Linked DNA regions of Oreochromis niloticus. The protein of the gene in region 1 purifies or fractionates together with the protein of each later gene. This does not show direct contact. Links are inferred from orthologs where the notes say so. Each region holds a gene or a part of one and is shown in the gene's direction. Other genes may lie near its edges. The genes, in order: dhx8 and nudcd1.

Region 1 (8,447 bases):
AGGGTTTGTGTCCCAATGATCCTAGGGGCTATGTTGCCTTTTGCCCCTGACAGTGTTTCCTGAGGCAAACTGGCCTGGTGAGGGACCAGACAAAGAGTGATTTAGAGGACTCCCATGAAAAAGAAAAAATCATGGGACCAGTTTATCCTGCCCAGTATAGGGTTACCAGGGCACCACTCTGGAGCCAGGCCTGGGGAGGTAGCTTGAGGGAGAGCGCCTGATGGCTGGGCCTTAGCCTATGGGGTTCTGGGCATGTTCTATTGGAAGGATGCCCCAGGACACGCTGGAGAGATTAGATCTTGGTTAGGCTGCTGTCTCTGATAAGCAGGGCATCATTGATGGGGGATTTACTCATTGCTATACCAAAAATCTTTTGGCATGAAGAAATTCATCTGACAGAGCTGTAAAACATTTTGGAAACAGCTAGTTCATCTCTCCTTAAAGCATCTAAAAACACTAACAAACAATAGTTAGTTAGTCGCTAAGTGCCCTTGGAGAAAAAACATCTATTTGTTGATTGTAACAAGATTCCAGAGAGTCACTGCATCTATTCACTAAGAAATAGTTACAGCACTTAACTTGCCCTGAAAACATATACTGTCGTCTGTGTATTTAGATTAAACAAACAAGAGACACTGTGTTAGCTAACAAGCTTTAAATAGCAACAGCATAAACTGTATAAAAGATGGGTGTAGTCACTGTGAAGTTCCCAATTAGTGAAGTTCATTAATAAAGCCCTAAGCGGACTTTTATTTTTGCTGTCAGCATTGTTGGTGAGTGTGGTGCAGATCTGCATGAGGAGCAAGAACACAGTAAAGTATATCTCCACATTTCAGTAATGGGGACCATCTTTGTTATATTCAGTAGAACTTACATCAGCACTAAGCCCATAGTCTTATGGGAGACAAGTGCCAATTTTCTATAAACTTCTACACAACCTGAAATGTCATTGCGACTGGAGTGGTCAATAGAAAGAGTGACCATTTAAGGCACTATCACACTGACTTCATTTTTTAGATTTGGAAAGTACACCCGTCTTTTATATGAAGTTCAATTAAGTGAGATGAGTTCTGAGTCCCAGCGATGATTGTAATTTGGAAAGGATACCTCTAGAGTCCAGATGTTAGTGGTGGTAAAGATGAAGGTGTAGGCTTGGATGAGGCTCTGAATGACCAGGGAGAGGTGGAAATGGGAAAAAGGGATGCATGAATGGTACTCTTAAAAGCAGAATGACAGAAGAGTATTGAGATTACTGAAGCGCACACGAAAGAGGCTTATTGGCTCACAGAAGATGGGCAAGAAAAGGACTGGTCTAGAGTAACGGTGCCATTGCTGATCCCATTAAAGTTGATTCTGTCCATCTGGACATAACATTTTCAGTGTGAGAAGATGAAATGAAAAAACTATGTCTAGATGAACAAAATCATCTTTCTCAGATTTCCTTACCTGGATGATTAAGCATGCACCAAGACATGGTGTCAGTATTGAGTTTGACAGCGTGTGAAAGAAGAAGCAATGTAAAGAATAGAGTTGTAGCCTGAACACCCAGGATACCACACAGACGCGTGATTACTGGTGTTCCTTACTGAACATACCCATTAGCTTCATTTTTTGGGTAATAGTATTTGTATGCTTTAAGTGAAGTAAGGGGCTCGTTAGAAGTGCCAACTGCATGTTTTAACATGACAATATCATAGCATGCAAAGCCAGATGCAGATTTTCTGACCTCATCTCTATTCAGAAGCCTTGGGATGAATCAGAGCACCAAGTGTTAGTGAGACTTTATCACCCAGCCATGGTGCTCAACCTCGCTAATACTCTTGTGGCAGAATCTGAGCAAATCCCTGAAGATTGGAGGCCATTGTTCCAGTAGATTAATGCCCATACCTTTGGAATGAGATCTTTTACAATCACATATGGGTGTAATGTTCAGGTGTCCACACATTTCTGGGCGCACTGTGTACATGCTTTGAACTTTTGGCAGCATAGACAGTACCAGAGAGATAAACAGTGAAATAAATTCCAGATTGCATTTTGAACAATGTGAGAGTGGGAGAAACTGACTTGCAAAAGATCATGAGGGATTTATTAGGAAAGCAGTCTGCTGCAATGGGAGATTCTCCATGAGAATCCCTTTCTGGCTAAGTCATACCACAGGAACAAATGGAAGGATGTGATGGCAGAAATGTCAATTGAAGTAAAAAGAAAAAAAAAGATTAAACATGAGTGAAATTCAGGACTCGTCTAACACAGCAAAACACATGGGGACATAATGTTCTTTTCAAAAATGATAAAATGTCAGAAGTTATGTGGATGTTATGTGAAAACAAGGCTCTTAATCAGGATTAAACTGGTGTGTGAAATAAGTAGTGTGTTTATGGATGGGTAATGAGGATTGATTTTAATAAGGAGATTACAGGCAGGAGGCTTGTGAGGAGGGAGCCAACTAGACACCAACTGAGGGAAATGTGTAAACAGACAGATGGTGGTGTGTGTGTGTGTGTGTGAACATGCACTAGGGTTCATAAGATGGGTGGGGTGTCCATTAATCGCAGGGTTAGCGGTTCGATCTCTGGTCCCACCCTGTGCCGAAGTGTCCTTGGTTAAAACTCAGAGCTCTGGGTTTTTCCCAATGGTAAACGAGCAGCTTACATGGGAGCTCTGCCCCCTTTGGGGTGCATATGTGTGTGTGAATGAAAAACAAAGGGCTCTGCAGAGCAAAGTTGAGGTTTAAAAGCGCTATAACAGTGAAGGCAATTTATCAGTCATGAGATCAAAGCTGGGAGGTATCCAAGGAGTAGACGAGGAAGGATGTCTCCTGTGCAGTGCATACCAGAATTTATCATATAAACATAGCTTTTTGTAGTAAGTTAAGATGCAGGTGATACAACATACAGTCATGATTTTCCTTGCACCTTTACCTCATTGAAACGTTCTCAAGACTCCACAAGAGATAAAACAGTTAGTGGGTGAAGAACTATGAATCAGCAACAGTGGCAGAAACAAAAACAGAAGTAAAGTCATAGCGTGAAACTGCTTTAAACGTTCACGATTGCACAGCATGATTCATTACTAGAAACTGAATTTTTGCTGTTGCAAAACACTTTGCTTCTCATGACCCGTACACACAGTTCAGCATAAACTGTATGAAAAATATGTGGGTAATCTTTAAATTTTCATATGTGCGGTTGCTGAACATTTCATGGCAAATCACTGGTCATTCATTTTCTACCGGCCTCTGCTCTTGTGTGAAGACCTAACTGCAGAGAGTAGTTCCCACAAGCATTTGCAATTTCATGCAAATGTGTTGGATGGGGATGAGGTAAGGGCTGCTTGCTACTTAAGCATAAAAAACCTTATCTTAATGGACTGTGTATGTGCATGACGTGCTGAAACAGAGGACTGTCTTTACATTCTCTGGCCAAAACCATAAAAGTCAAGACAGCAACTATACCTGTCCACATACCATTAGTAGCAGGGTTGAGGTTTTCTTTTATCATTTCCAATCCCCTGCACTCATCAGTGGCAATTAATTATTCATTGCACTGCAACGTTTTTTTATGCAACAAGGCAACAACAGACATTTACGTTTTGAAATGCATCCCATGGGCCATAGCTTGATCATCGATGAAGCTATGGCTCATCATCATAACATCACCCACTGGTTTTTGGATCTGCATTTCAAAGCCTCATCTTTAGCATTTTGCCCATTTTTATGTTGATATTTGTAGCCAGATGTGTATATATTTACCTGTTATCATGCTGTATTCATTCACTTTATGGGTGCAAAGAACAGCTATATACTAGAATTTCACTCACCAAAATGATGTACCAGATTCTTGGCATATTTGCACTAAAATGGGCTGAAAGAAGTTCACAACATAGAGAAAGGTCCACTGGTGAAAGGTTTACTTCAGTGCTTCAGATTACTGGGGGTGAAGCACAGAAGACAATTGTCAGCTACAGCTCCCTGTGTCAGCACACCTGTCAGTCAAAACAGCCACACCCAACTTATTACTTACCAAATTCATTTATGGTGTTAGGTTCTAAACATGCTTTTTTTAATGAAGTGAAGTTTAGATGCTTTAATAAGGGAGTCTATGGGGATTAACTTGCTTTCAGAGCAACCTCAAGCGAACATAAGAGGGGCCGGCTTATTTTTTCATCCCTGGCCACTTGAGAAGAACATAAAACATGAAAAAAGTCAATTTATCATCTATATTGTGGCAAAAAAAGAATGTATTAAACATTTGCACGAATAAACCATATACAGTTTATAAAACAAGCACAGAAGACAAAATAAGGAGAAAAGCATATGTGCTAAGAACTGGCAAACCTCTTGCAAACGACATGAAATGAAAACCCCACATGTGAAGACATCTGTGGTGGAGACGTTTCAATTCTAAAAATTTATTGTGAGGGTCTTGAGTGCCATCGTGTGGCAAGTAGGAGCCAGACCTTGAACTCTACTAAGTGTTTCCGTAAAGGGCGGAAGGGGATGTTGCCCATATCCAATATGTCTGCCGGCGTCTACGTTGTGTGAACAAAAACAACTCGTGGACGATGGCAGACATCGGAGTCGACGAGCTATCGCAGCTCGAATATCTGTCTTTAGTGTCGAAAGTCTGCACGGAGCTTGACAACCATCTGGGAATAAATGACAAAGATTTAGGTACGTATTTTATGCCTTTGAAAAATCGCCATTCGCCAAAACTAGCTAGCTAGCTTATGCTAACTAGTAGTTGTTAGCAAACTAGCATCTGTATTAACTGTCAACATATGAGTTCTTTTTGGATTTATTGTGTCGTTTAGTAGATTTAGAAAAAAAATTACATACTAATCCTTCACAAAATTCGTTGTAGGTCACTTTTAATGCTGGGATATAAACTTCGACAGTTATGAGTCTCATCTAGTTCCTCGTTAATTTGTTGTTTGTGGTTCCTTTACAGCTGAATTTGTCATCAGCCTTGCCGAAAAACAACAGAGCTTTGATGGATTCAAAGCACTTTTACTCGAAAATGGAGCCGAATTCACAGTAAGTTAATCCCTACGAGTTGTTCGTGAAGCTCATTGTTATTCAACTAAACATTAACTTTTTCTTCGCTTATTGTAGGATTCTCTCATCAGTAATCTGCTCAGGCTCATTCAGACGATGCGACCTCCATCCAAAGCATCTACAAGTAAAGGTAAAGTAGTTAGGCTAGCTGTAAACTGGGCAGCTAATCGTCCCAAGGACATATTTTACTCCTTAAAAGTGACATTTCTAATCGTGTACTCCTCTTCCAGCATCCGAGTCCGTGGCTAAGCCGAAGTCAGAAAAGGAAAAGCTGAGGGAGCTGTTTCCTGCACTGTGTAGACCAAATGAGCCGGCACCGAAGGTATGTGGCTTTATCACACTGTCATGAAGCCGCAGTGTCCCCATTATCTTTATTGCAAAACAAGCTTGTACACTTGGGCCCTGTACAAAGAAACGATCTAAACACACACAGGGTGTCTTTCTGTTGGCAATCAGGCTAAGCGGTGTCACTAAGCTGGTTATCATTTTGATAAGTGAACCCAGGATTTTCCTCTTTGTGTTTACATGAAAGGGGTGGTGTTGGCAGTACAGGTGGGCGATGCAGCCTCAAAATTACAATATTTCAAGAAAGTTTGCAATAAGATTTCTGACAATATATACACAAAATACCAAATGTTTTATTGATGCTTGTAGACAACAGGATTTGTAATTGTAAGTAAATAAAGGGCATTTTTCATCCTCCCATGTCTAACATACGTTGCTTTGAAGCACTCACAATCTCATCAGGTTTTTAATTTATTCAGCTAGTGTCCTATGTGGGGTTAAAAAGTGGGTAAATAAAAGAAAAAACAAACACTAAATAGAAATGTTGACCAATTTATGTTGACTGATTTTTGTTATACTGAACTTTGTAGGCTCTGCTGGATGAAGATGATGTAAAAGTAGCAGCTGATGCCATGAAGGAACTGGAAATGTTCATGCCCAGTGTCAGCGGGACAGACTCCAAAGGGAGCAAGAACAGGTAAGACTCAAGTCACTGGTCACATTTCATTGTCATGTTGGGTTTATTTAAATCTCTGACACCTGTGCTCCAACTAGCAAACTTGCGACGGCTGTTTGAATTCAGGATATTATTGTTGTTTATTTTTATGTATTTCTGACTCTTCTCCTCTCGTAGATCAGAAAAAAACAGGCGAAGTCGCAGCAGAAGCAGAGAAAAAGACAGACACAGAGATCGAGACAGAGATCGGGAAAAGGACCGAAAGAGACGGCATCGTTCCCGATCCTATTCCAGATCCAGGTCACGCTCCAGAGACCGTGATCGGCATAGAGATAGAGATAGAGACCGTGGCAAGAGAAGAGACAAATCTTCCCGCTGGTCTGAGCGCTCACCTAGTCCGAGAAAAGACCAAGAGAGAGAGTCTGACCGCTGGAGGGACAAACATGTGGATCGCCCTCCACCTGAGGAGCCTTCTGTTGGTGATATCTACAATGGAAAGGTTACCAGCATCATGCAGTTTGGATGCTTTGTTCAACTTGAGGGACTCAGGTTAGTATAAGGTTGCAAACATTGTATAAATATACCTTCAGTTTTAAAGGGGCCTGCTGGTTACCAAAGATGTTTTCAGTGCATACCATTTAGAGATATCTCCTCTTTTGTCCTGTCTCTTATTTCATTGTTAAAGTTGTCCATGATCATCTTCTCAATTTCTAGGAAGCGATGGGAGGGTCTGGTCCACATTTCTGAGCTGCGCAGGGAGGGCCGTGTGGCCAACGTGGCCGACGTTGTTAGCAAAGGCCAAAGAGTCAAAGTCAAGGTGCTCTCATTCACAGGGTCCAAGACCAGCCTCAGTATGAAGGTAAAAAAAAAAACAAACGCACATAACAGTGTGTTTATCAGTTGATTTTAATAAAGTATGTACTGTGTTAAAGTGAAGGAAGTTTTCAGATGTCTTCCTTCTGATCCTGTCTGAAGAAATAAGATTTTGATCAAATAATTTGTGCTTAATTAGTTTTACATTTATTGTGTCATAAAAGTATATATTTATTCATTCTGATGAATTTCATGTTTTCCTTGAGATTTTTCAGCCGTTGTATCTCAGCTCCGGGTACAGATAATGAAACGTTTTTATTTCCTCCTTTGCCAGGATGTAGACCAGGAGACGGGAGAAGACCTGAACCCCAACAGGAGGAGGAACGTCGGCCCCGACGGAGGAGAGGAGATCTCCATGAGGAATCCTGATCGGCCGAGCAACCTGAACCTCGGCCACGCGCCGGAGCTGGAACAGGATGACACACTGGAGCGCAAGAGGCTCACCAAAATCTCAGACCCAGAGAAGTGGGAGATCAAACAGGTGGGTTCACATTTGAAGTGGCTGAAGCTTCGTTTACGTCTGTGCATCTATCTAATTTTAAAAGGTGTTTGTTGAAAAAAGAAAAGAAAAAAATGCTCTCGTTGTGTAAATTTCCTCAGATGATTGCTGCCAATGTTTTGTCCAAAGAAGAATTTCCTGATTTTGATGATGAGACAGGCATCCTTCCTAAAGTTGATGATGAAGAGGGTAAGAAATTGTTTTGTCTATGACTGAACTGCTTTAATAAATGAGTAATTCATGCTAGTAAAAGCACTTATATACAAGATAGTATTAAATATTTATACTTCATGCTAAAATACTGAATTTATTTAAATACTTGATGACTGTTTTATTTTGTTCTTCTTGAATATTTAAATCGTGTATTTGCTCTTGTTCATGTGAACCATGACTAAGTGTGACCTGATTCCTAACTGGTTGGTTTCATTTCATACAGATGAAGACTTGGAAATTGAGCTGGTTGAAGAGGAACCACCGTTTCTGAGAGGCCACACAAAGCAAAGCATGGACATGAGCCCAGTCAAGATTGTCAAGGTAACAGTAGAAGTTTGAGTGAAAGGGAAAAAAAAGAATAAACTAGGAGTAAATTTTCTAATCATTATCAGGCCATAAAGTTTTCCAGCACCCTGCTGTGATTTATAAATTGGATTAATTATATTATAATTCTGGTGAAATATTCTTGTTTATATTTAATAGTTAAATTTAAACATCTCAGCAGTCAAACAAACAGAACGTCCCTGGTTTGAATCCATTGGCCAGCTGGAGCCTTTCTGTAAGGAATTTGCATGCGTTTCCTGCGTGGGTTCTCTCTAGGAACTTCAGGTTCCTCCCAGTGGAACATGCAGGTTAGGTTAATTGGCTGCAGGTGTGAGTGGTTGTGTCAGCGCTGGGATAGACTGGTGAACCTTTCTAACCAGCTTAACCACAGCCTTGAGCAAGAGTGGTGAAAAAAGATGGATGAGTTTATACATTTTTAATTTTATGAAGTAAATGAATTTCTGTAATATATCACCATGGGCTTATTCAGGAAAAGGCACAACTTGGTGCATAAAACACCA
Region 2 (9,304 bases), on another chromosome or scaffold:
ACACAAAAGTACTATTTAAAACAAAAGTATTATTGACATTTATTGACAGCCATAGAATAAATTTATGTACTAAAATATACAATTATTTTAAAAAATATTATTTTTAAAAATTGTATTTTCCATTTTCCAGTGTGACATTTATGTGAACAAAACTCACCAGCAGTGAGAAACCCTTTTTAACCTCTTGACTGGGAAACAGTGTGAGTTCAGGGACGCGCACTACCTTTTTATAACGTGCTCAGGGTCCCGCCCCTCACCTGAAACTGGGAGGAGACTGGAAGAACATTTTGCCGCATTTATCAGATTTTCAAGATGTCTGCATTTAAAAACAAAACGAAAGTGAGTCAAAAGCGTGATAAATAATGGCTCCATGAACACGGAGCGTAATGATCTATGAAAATGTGGAGAAAGAAGTGGAGCTATAAAAAGCTAAAGTTTGCAAAGTTATACACGTTTTGCATTTGTTGAGTTTCAGTAAATATGGCCTTTGTGTAGCCTTTGACTTTTTCACACCACCGTTTCATGACTGCTGGATTAAATTTGCATTAAAGTGCAATCATTTTCGCTGTGCACAATGTGCTCTTGAAGTGGTCTTCATGTTATTCTGTCCACGTTTCATTTATAAAACACATCGTACAGTAGTGCTTCACATTAGCCCTTTCAGTCTTTGAGTGTTTGTAAAACTGTCTGTGATCATAACAATGATAAATAAAACTCCTTGTGATGCTTGCAACCTTATATTAATTGCAGATTTCCTCTTCAACTAATTTGTGCCTGGAACCATAAAAAGAAAACAGATCTAAAACTGGCAAACAGTAAATAATAATAATAATAATAAATAATGTCAAACATAGTTCACTGACAGATTACAGACCAGTCTCTTGGTGACCCTTTTTCCTTTAGACTATGTCTATTTAAAAAAATCCAAACAATGCATAGAAAGATTGCCTAATTAAATTCACCAAAGTGGGTGTAATATTCATAAATATGAAATGATTCGAAGGGTGTCCTCATGACTTTACAGATGGAATCACGAATGCCAAACCGCTGTTTACCTTCAGATGCCTGACATCAGAGAAATATTTCAGCATGATAATCATCCAAAGCACATTGTCAAAAATCACACGAGTGTTTCAAGAACAAAAAAACAAGTTGTTTCAACTATTTCACCTGACTTAAATCCAACAAAACACCTTCAAGGTATTTAAAAGAAATGTAAAGTAACAAACCTCTTCCAGATTGTTACCAAATTGTCTTTGAGCAATGACGTGACGTTGTTCTTCAACACAGGTATTCTCCATGTACACCTGTACAGCTTTGTTGTGATTGCAGGGGATTTTAACAACAGCAGTTTAAAGACTGCTCCCTAAGTTCAAGCAGAGGTATGAACATGCTGGACTTATAATCAAACCCCCACCCCCACCTCACCCACTCTGATCACCTTTCTGTTACGCCTGAGCCTGCTTACAAACCATTCCTGAAGCGCAGCAGACCAGTGAGAAAACAGACCAGGATCTGGCCAGAGGATGCAGCCTCAGCACAGCCTCAGCACTAAAAACTGCTTTAGGAACACCGGGTGGGGGGTGTTCAAGACAGCAGCCTCGCAGGGAGACCAGATAAACAATGTGGAGTACGCAGAGGCAGTAAACAGCTACATTGCTAAGAGGATGTCACTGTAGTTAAGACCTTCACTGCACGTGGCAACCAGAGACCCTGGTGGAGGATGAGACTGCTCTCCGTGTGGCCAGGTCTGCGAGGGACACCTCTGCGAGACAGGAAACACCAGACGAACGTGGCAGGGAGTACAGGCACTGATGAATTCCAAACCCATGCAAGGGGTCAACAAAGATGACACTTCTTTTCCGGACAGGTTTAATAACTTCTTTGCATGCTTCCAGGCATCAAACTGAACATACAGAGGGAAAGTGGGTTCTCCATTATCTGCAGGGCCAGCTGTTATCATAAGTGCAGCAGATACCAGAGGACCCTGGCCAGGGTCAACCCACGGAAAGCTGCAGGTCCAGATAACATCCCAGGACATGTGCTCAGAGACTGCACTGGTGAGCTGGCAGATGTCCTAAATGATATTTTTAACATCTCCCTCAGTCAGGCCACCGTACCCAGATGCTTCAAAACATCCACCATAGTGCCAATAGCAAAGAAACCAGTTTTATCTTGTCTAAATGGCTACGGGTCCGTCACATTGACAACAATTGTGATGAAGTGTTTTGAACAGCTTATCAAACCACACATCACAGCCACCCTTCCTGCATTAATTGACCTGCTCCAGTTTGCTTATCATCCTAACCACTCCACAGAGGATGCATTAACCACCACCTTGCACTCAGCCATCACCCATCTGGACATATGCCATACTCCTATTGATTTTAGCTCAGTGTTTAACACCATCATTCCACAGAGACTACTAGAGAAACTCCACTTACTGGGGCTGAACACCACACATGTCTTGGGAGAAAGATCTCCAAACCCACCACGCTGAGCGCTGGATCTCCTCAAGGATTTGTTCTCAGGCCGGAAGATACAGATCCAGCACACTCCTCTCAGTATCAGCGACTGCCCAGAGAGTGGAAGACATCAGGTTCTTGGATGTTCAGATCTCGAAGGACCTGAGCTGGGACAAGAGCATCTCAGTGATCACAAAATGGGCCCAGCAGGGACTGAATGAAACAAGCCTCTGTCCCCTCCAGCATCCTCAGGACTTTTTACAGAGGCATGTTCTACGGTATATCAGCGTGGTGTTCCAGCTGCAGTATGTCAGACAAAACAGCACTGCAGAGGATAGTTAGAGCAGCTCAGAAGGCCCTTGGAGTTTCCCTCCCCTCTGTCTAAGACCTTTTCAAGAGCCACAGCAGGAGCAGGGCACTGAAAATCATAAAGGACCCCTCACCCCCCCTCAATTCTTTGAACTGTTGCCATCAGGCAAACGGTTATAAAAGCCTCCAACAGCTTCCTCCCACAAGCTGTTAGAATGCTGAACTGTTGATTTGGTTATGTACACTATCATACCCAGGAGTCTTTAGAATTAGTTTTAATTAGTTATCTTTCTTACTCAGTTCTTTATTTATATAGTTATCTTTTTTTTCTTTTAAAGAGACTATTTTACAGTGATGCGTCTGGGATGCATGTGTGTCTGATTGTGCAGGGCAGGGTGGTTGCATGATGTTTGTGTGTGTTCTAATATTTTTAAGACCCTGAACAAACACCCTTTCATTTTGCCTGCACTACGGCAGTATGAACAGCAGAATTGAGAATTTAACATTTAACAAGCTAAATGAGGCCTGTAGAGTCTGAGATGTAGCTCATATATCAAAGTTTTATATCAAAATTTGCTGGGATGTCTCCATTACGTGTTTTCCACTTGTGACTGACTAATCTTTCTCACTGTAGAATGATGAGCTTCAAATTATTTAGAAATATCCTTTACAAACTTCCAAGACTGATGGGCAGAAACAAGTGCTCTTCGAGATCATTGCTGATGTCCTTCCACCTTGGCACTGCATTAACACACCGGAAAGCTCCAGAGCAGGGAACTGCCAAAACTTCTACTTTTATAGAGGTGCTCACACTTGCTGATGATCAGCTATTCAAGTGCATTTGATTAGCAGCTACTTAGCCTCTTAATTCCTATGGAGGCAGTAATGATGTACTTTTTTTCACACACTCTTTTTGTATTTTGTGCAGCAAGTTTTGTTTTGTTATTTATCTGAGATAATATTTATCTAATTTCAAGACATGTTTAAGACCAGATCATTTTTTATTAACTCCTGATCCGTAAAACCTACTGCCAATCAACATTATTACTTCTGGGTGTATTTTCTCAACAACTGTAAATAATTCAAAGTTTGAGATGCAATTATAAGTTTTTGGTTTTTCGACATGGGCGACAGACTGGGGACCTGTCGAGGGTGTCCACTGCCTTTTTCACTAAGACTTAATCTGTCTGCACTTTTGGGTTTGGATCAACCAGACAGGTAGCAATTACAACAAGAATGACCAAAATAGGCATGACTTTATTTTTCTTCTCCAAAACTGCAGCATAAACTAAAAATCAATATGAAAACACACAATACAAAATAAAATTAGCACTAAAATGAACACAATAAACAACAGTTTGGATTTCACTCGTGGATCAACAGTGAGTAAAAACAAACAAACAAACAAAAAAGGGAATTGTGTCATTCACAAGGTTGCATGTTGAGCTAAAAAAGCTCTGATTCTCTGGAGGAGTTCTTTCTTCACACTGTCTGGTACGAGTGCTGCAGAGGAAAGAGATGAAGAGATGAAGAGAGATTAAGTCAGAACACAGAATAGAAACTTACATACTCACACAACACGATACTTTTATTGTCAGAAGTTGTCATCCTGTCAGCTGTTTCTAATATTTTTTCTATGTATGTTATAATGTTGGCCTGGTAGATAAAATATGACTTTTAAGAGGCACCAGCTCCCTCTACAACTTCCTACGAAGCTCAGAAACATTTCCAGAAATCACCATGCCATGCACGAATAATGGTTAATATCCAATATCCAATATGCACGAATAATGGAAAATGATCCAGAAACACTGCCATCTTCTCTAGGCTAAAGCTCATTTAAAATGACTGAGGCATCTGAAAGTGTTCTTCAAATGGGCAGTAAATGTCCAAAGAAAAACTCTGAAAGACCTTCAGAAGGTCTGAAGAACTACTACTGAAGACCAGTTTAAAACAGTTTAGAGAAAATACAGCATCTGGCTCCTTGGAAGAAAAATATAAAGAAGTGAGGGGTGGTTCAAGACTGTATATCAGGGAAACCTGAAATCGTAAGAGCTGTAATCAATAAGTAGTGCTGACCTACAACATTAGCAGTTTGTTAGTTAGCATGCACAAAGATGTATTAGGGATAAAGATGATGTGCAGTGCTAAATAAATAAATTGACTTGTACATCTAAATCAACGAAGCAAATGAGTATGCTCATCACTTCTAACAGTCTTCCTCCCCCTGCTGTTGTGTTTGAACATCTGTACTGTACCTCTGCCTTTTGGTGTGACCTCTGTGACCAGGTCCTCCACTGTGACATGCTCCAGGCCCTTTTCTCTGATCACATCTGGCTCAAACGGGAGGTAATGACTTTAGTGACTTTTGTTTTTATAGCACCACGACATCATCGCCGGACACTAACATAAGCACAAGTCAAATACCTTTGCAGTGTGCTTTCAGCTGATCCTTCCACCCACACTCCACCAGCTTCGCTCTGAGCAACTCTTTCAACCTGCGGCCACACATTTAATTCACATTATGTGACTTAATATGTGCAATTCAAAACCACGCCAAACCATCCAGCACCAAATCACTGCAGTGAAAGACTCGCTTACCGCTCCCGTTCCCCCATCTCTATCAGCTTCTGGTTTATTGCAGCCCTCATCTGGGAATCTTTGCTCATGATCCGCCTGAAATTAAACACACACACCGACACAGTCAGCTTGGACGCAAGAGTATAATAAAAACATATATTATAATGTCTAATTTAGCTCCCTATCAGGTAGCCGCTACCGTTATCGAGAAGGATCAGCTGGGGAACATAAGGTCCCTTTACACAACGGAACCGTCTAAAAACGTTTAACGCTTAAAAGTTCCGGCTTTGGAGTGGTTAATCTTTCAACGTCAACCTGAATAACCAATGATAGTCTCATTAGTGTTCAAAATACCTGTTTAATGACGAAAAATATAATACAATACATTTAAACTGAAAACACTAAATTAAATCAGTTACTTAAGCATTTCAAGAGAGATTAGCTCAGGACTCAACTTCCCCTGCGCCCTGGGAGGTTTTGTCCGCCGTAAAATAGCTCCGTGTGAGAAAACAATGACGAAAACACAGGAAACGTGTATCACGCTGGCTACACATCACCCTCCTCCTCTTGCTGCACACAGGCTGTCATCAACTTGTGAATAAGCCAGTCTCATTGAAAAAGACATGACTGCGTCTAACTACTCATTGAAGGTCAACAGAGACCTGTTGGACCCAAACTTTGAGAGTTACAGGTTATCCTTGGACGCCATACCGACGTACAACATAGAGCTGGATGCTGGTGAGAAAAACTTAATGCAGTGCAGTTAGCAAGTGTGCTAGCCTAGCCCTGAGAAAGGTCCAGTATAACTTCTGTCCAGTATAACACTAAATAGGAATAGCAATGTAAGTTATTTGAAATTATCTCAGACATTTTATTGGCTGTCACTACGTCACGACGTCAGCTGTTGATGCTACATAATATTTTGGCAGCTGTATCTGTAGCTCAGTGGCTCACAATGAGATCTTAAGGTCCACCACTGTAACCTAATGAGCTTTCACACGATCACTAAGAAAAATCTGAACATTAGCATAGTTTAAACCACTGAAAATTAACAGATTAACGCTGAAGTGACTAATTACTACAATTTGTTCTTCATACACATACATAACTCATTTATATTGCCAGGACAAGTCAAGTGCACCAATCTTAAATAACTTAAAAACAATCATAGGGATGTTATAAGGTTAGTTTTGTAATACATGTTTTAACTTCAAGCTCTTAACTTCAGTTTGAGCAATACCAAATTAGTGGGGCTGCTGATCCAGATATGTACTTTAGTGATTAAAACGATAAGGGATGGAAATAGAGCAGCATTTTTAAAATTTTGCATAATCATATACCAAAGCTTGCTAATTCCTTTTAATCGAAACTCAGGCCAGCTGAGCTCACCAGAGTTGCATCTAAGTGTTTTCTACTACGTCTCTTATCCAGTTTATAAAACAGCTAGTGTGGGTCGAAAATCAACAATCTATGAAGTTTGTACCTAACAGGAGAATTCATTATAACATTGGTTTGGATACAATCTTACTGATATAAAAAGGTGCTTACACTTTGCACAGACATCCACTCACAGTAGATTCAGGCATGCATATTACAAGGTGATTAATGTGCTTTAAAAAAAAAACACGATACTTTATTTAGTGGGAACAATTCAGACAAATAGTAGCTGTAAAAAATAGTTAATTGCAGTTTTTTGTCACCGATAGTTCATCTTAGAGTAAAATGTTGAAATATTAAGATATGTTAAGATATATGTAACACTTTCCACAAAGCAACTGTAGGAAAGGCAGAAGGGTAAACTGCTTTTTAAGTAACAACATAAATAACAGAAATTTGATTACTGCCGTATTTAATCTTTTCTTTTTCATATCTGCCGCAGCCGTGGAGGAGGTCAAGCTGAAGGACACTCAGTACACCCTGGAACATATGCGTGCCTTTGGGATGTATAATTACCTGCATTTAGACCCCTGGTATGAGGACAGTGTTTACTTTGTGGACTGCAAAGGACGGGTCCTCAATCTCACCGTCACTCTGGTGAGTTTGCAAATCCTCTTGTTTTTTGGGGTTATTTTTGGAAGTCTATATTCCTCGGCCTGTTTATGATTGTTGCCCCTCCATTGATGTCTAAGGTGTTTTCACACCTGCACTATTTTCTATGTGATGATGCACATTGTTCCACACACGAACATGGTAATTGTGCTTGCAGTTTTTCCTATGCAAAAAGACACCAAACAAACAAAAACACAAGTATGTAAGGTCATCAAGTGATCTGGAAGAGAACATCAAGGGTGAAAACACCATAAGAGAGCAATCACCGATCTTAATAAAAAATCTTTGATATTCATAAAACTAGCTCCTAGTGCCAACATTTTTCTTAATTTCTAAGAATTTCTCGCTAAAGTTACAACTAAATCTTGAAAAGGTGAAAGTTATTCACAAAGCATTTGCTTCTAAGATAAAAAAAACTGTGTGGAGTGAAAAGAAGGACTTACTTAGGAGTTCCTTAAGCAGAGGAGAAACTGGCAGAAAGAAGAAGCTTTGCCACTTTTTTTTCACCCTGTTGATTAAATAAAATCTTTGCGCTTTGCATAATAAGGTTAATTTATCTTTTTAAGCGTTAGAGGAATACAATTTGATGTAACACTTAAGACAAACAGAGTCTAACATTACACTGTGTGGTTAATTACAGCTGACTAATGGTAGTTAACTTGCCAGCATAATAACAGTGGTTTGGCAGCTGTAGAAACAAGCCACAGGTCAGTCTTGTGCATACATTAGTGCCATTAGTCTGTGCTCCAAATTCAGAATAACAGTGAGGTGATTAAAGCTGCAGGTTACATGTTTCATGGGTAAAGACTGTAGTCAGTATTCTGTTACATCTAATAATAAACTCAGCATTGACAAAATCATCATCACTAAAGTGTTTTGGAGCTGGAAAAATGCAAGTTGGGTCTGCCCAACCTTCATCAGCAGAGCAATCACGCAGATAGCTTTCACAGCCTCATGCTGTGAAGCAGTTTATTTTATTTTTCACATCTTAGAGCGTTCACAGACATGATGATCTCCCTCGTATTATAGCAGTAAATCATAGAATCTGAACAATTTTACTTATTATAATAATTTAGATCAATTATTAAATTTACCATCATGGCAAATGGATTTAACCTGAAATCTAACTCTCACCATGGGAATTTACGTAATCTGAGAGTTTCCTAAATCACAAGTTTGGAGTCTTTGCAAATGTTTTTAGGCAAATTTAGGAGCTCTTTGTTTTACAGTGTTGTTTTATGTTACCATTATATAACGTTTCATATTATGGGCCTGATGTTGTGATGGTGTATTCAATGAAGGATTTTTATGCGCCTGATGTGCCAGTAGGTGGTGACCAAACACTTGAGCATCAGCAGGTTGAGGGAAGAGAAAGGATGTCTGTGAAACACAAGAGTTTTAAAAGTTATGTTAAATTATATAATATTATTTCTAACCTTTTTTTTCCTTGGTCAAGATGCAAAATAATAAACGTCAGAATAAACGTGGCTCTTAGTATTTAGTCTGAAACACAACTTTCTGTGCAGTCTTTTGTCTGTCGTATGAATCACCCGAGCACATAAAGTTTGGATGAGCCCTTGTAGGTCTCCAGTTAATCACAGGAGCGATTATATAATTGACTCAAGGTTCTGATTGGTATTGTTACCCCGTACCAAGATGTTGAGATGAGGAGCAAAATCGTTCTCATGACCTTTTCAATCGAGCCTTCTTTTATGTCTTAGTCATCATTGACCATAATTAGACATAATTGGTGTCTCATTGGAGTTTTTTTTCTTTGATGATCATCACACTGTAATCCTGCGAGACAGTGTTTCTGGCTTTCAGTGGCACCATTAAATGAAATTTATGGAAAAGTGTTGCTCAAATTCTAATTACAGTGATCACATGATAATTATCATCCT

Evidence for each region.
Region 2: the proteins of dhx8 (region 1) and nudcd1 purify together in Homo sapiens (affinity purification with mass spectrometry; 3 studies listed by BioGRID and IntAct, counting the BioPlex papers as one, with this or other methods). This does not show direct contact. The link is inferred for Oreochromis niloticus from reciprocal best matches to the Homo sapiens genes DHX8 and NUDCD1.

What each region holds. Positions count from the first base shown.
Region 1 is NC_031973.2:6,133,455-6,141,901, forward strand, and holds the start of dhx8 (ATP-dependent RNA helicase DHX8), read left to right. Parts: upstream 1-4,480; 5' UTR 4,481-4,563; coding exon 4,564-4,672; intron 4,673-4,949; coding exon 4,950-5,035; intron 5,036-5,113; coding exon 5,114-5,186; intron 5,187-5,286; coding exon 5,287-5,378; intron 5,379-5,931; coding exon 5,932-6,038; intron 6,039-6,194; coding exon 6,195-6,566; intron 6,567-6,731; coding exon 6,732-6,876; intron 6,877-7,164; coding exon 7,165-7,371; intron 7,372-7,490; coding exon 7,491-7,578; intron 7,579-7,825; coding exon 7,826-7,923; intron 7,924-8,219; exon of another isoform or gene 8,220-8,402; coding exon of another isoform or gene 8,403-8,432; intron 8,433-8,447.
Region 2 is NC_031985.2:12,075,354-12,084,657, forward strand, and holds the start of nudcd1 (nudC domain-containing protein 1), read left to right. Parts: upstream 1-5,843; 5' UTR 5,844-5,977; coding exon 5,978-6,092; intron 6,093-7,233; coding exon 7,234-7,388; intron 7,389-9,304. Other genes in the region: transcription and mRNA export factor ENY2-2, read right to left, coding at 4,201-4,277, 5,033-5,107, 5,202-5,272, 5,376-5,443.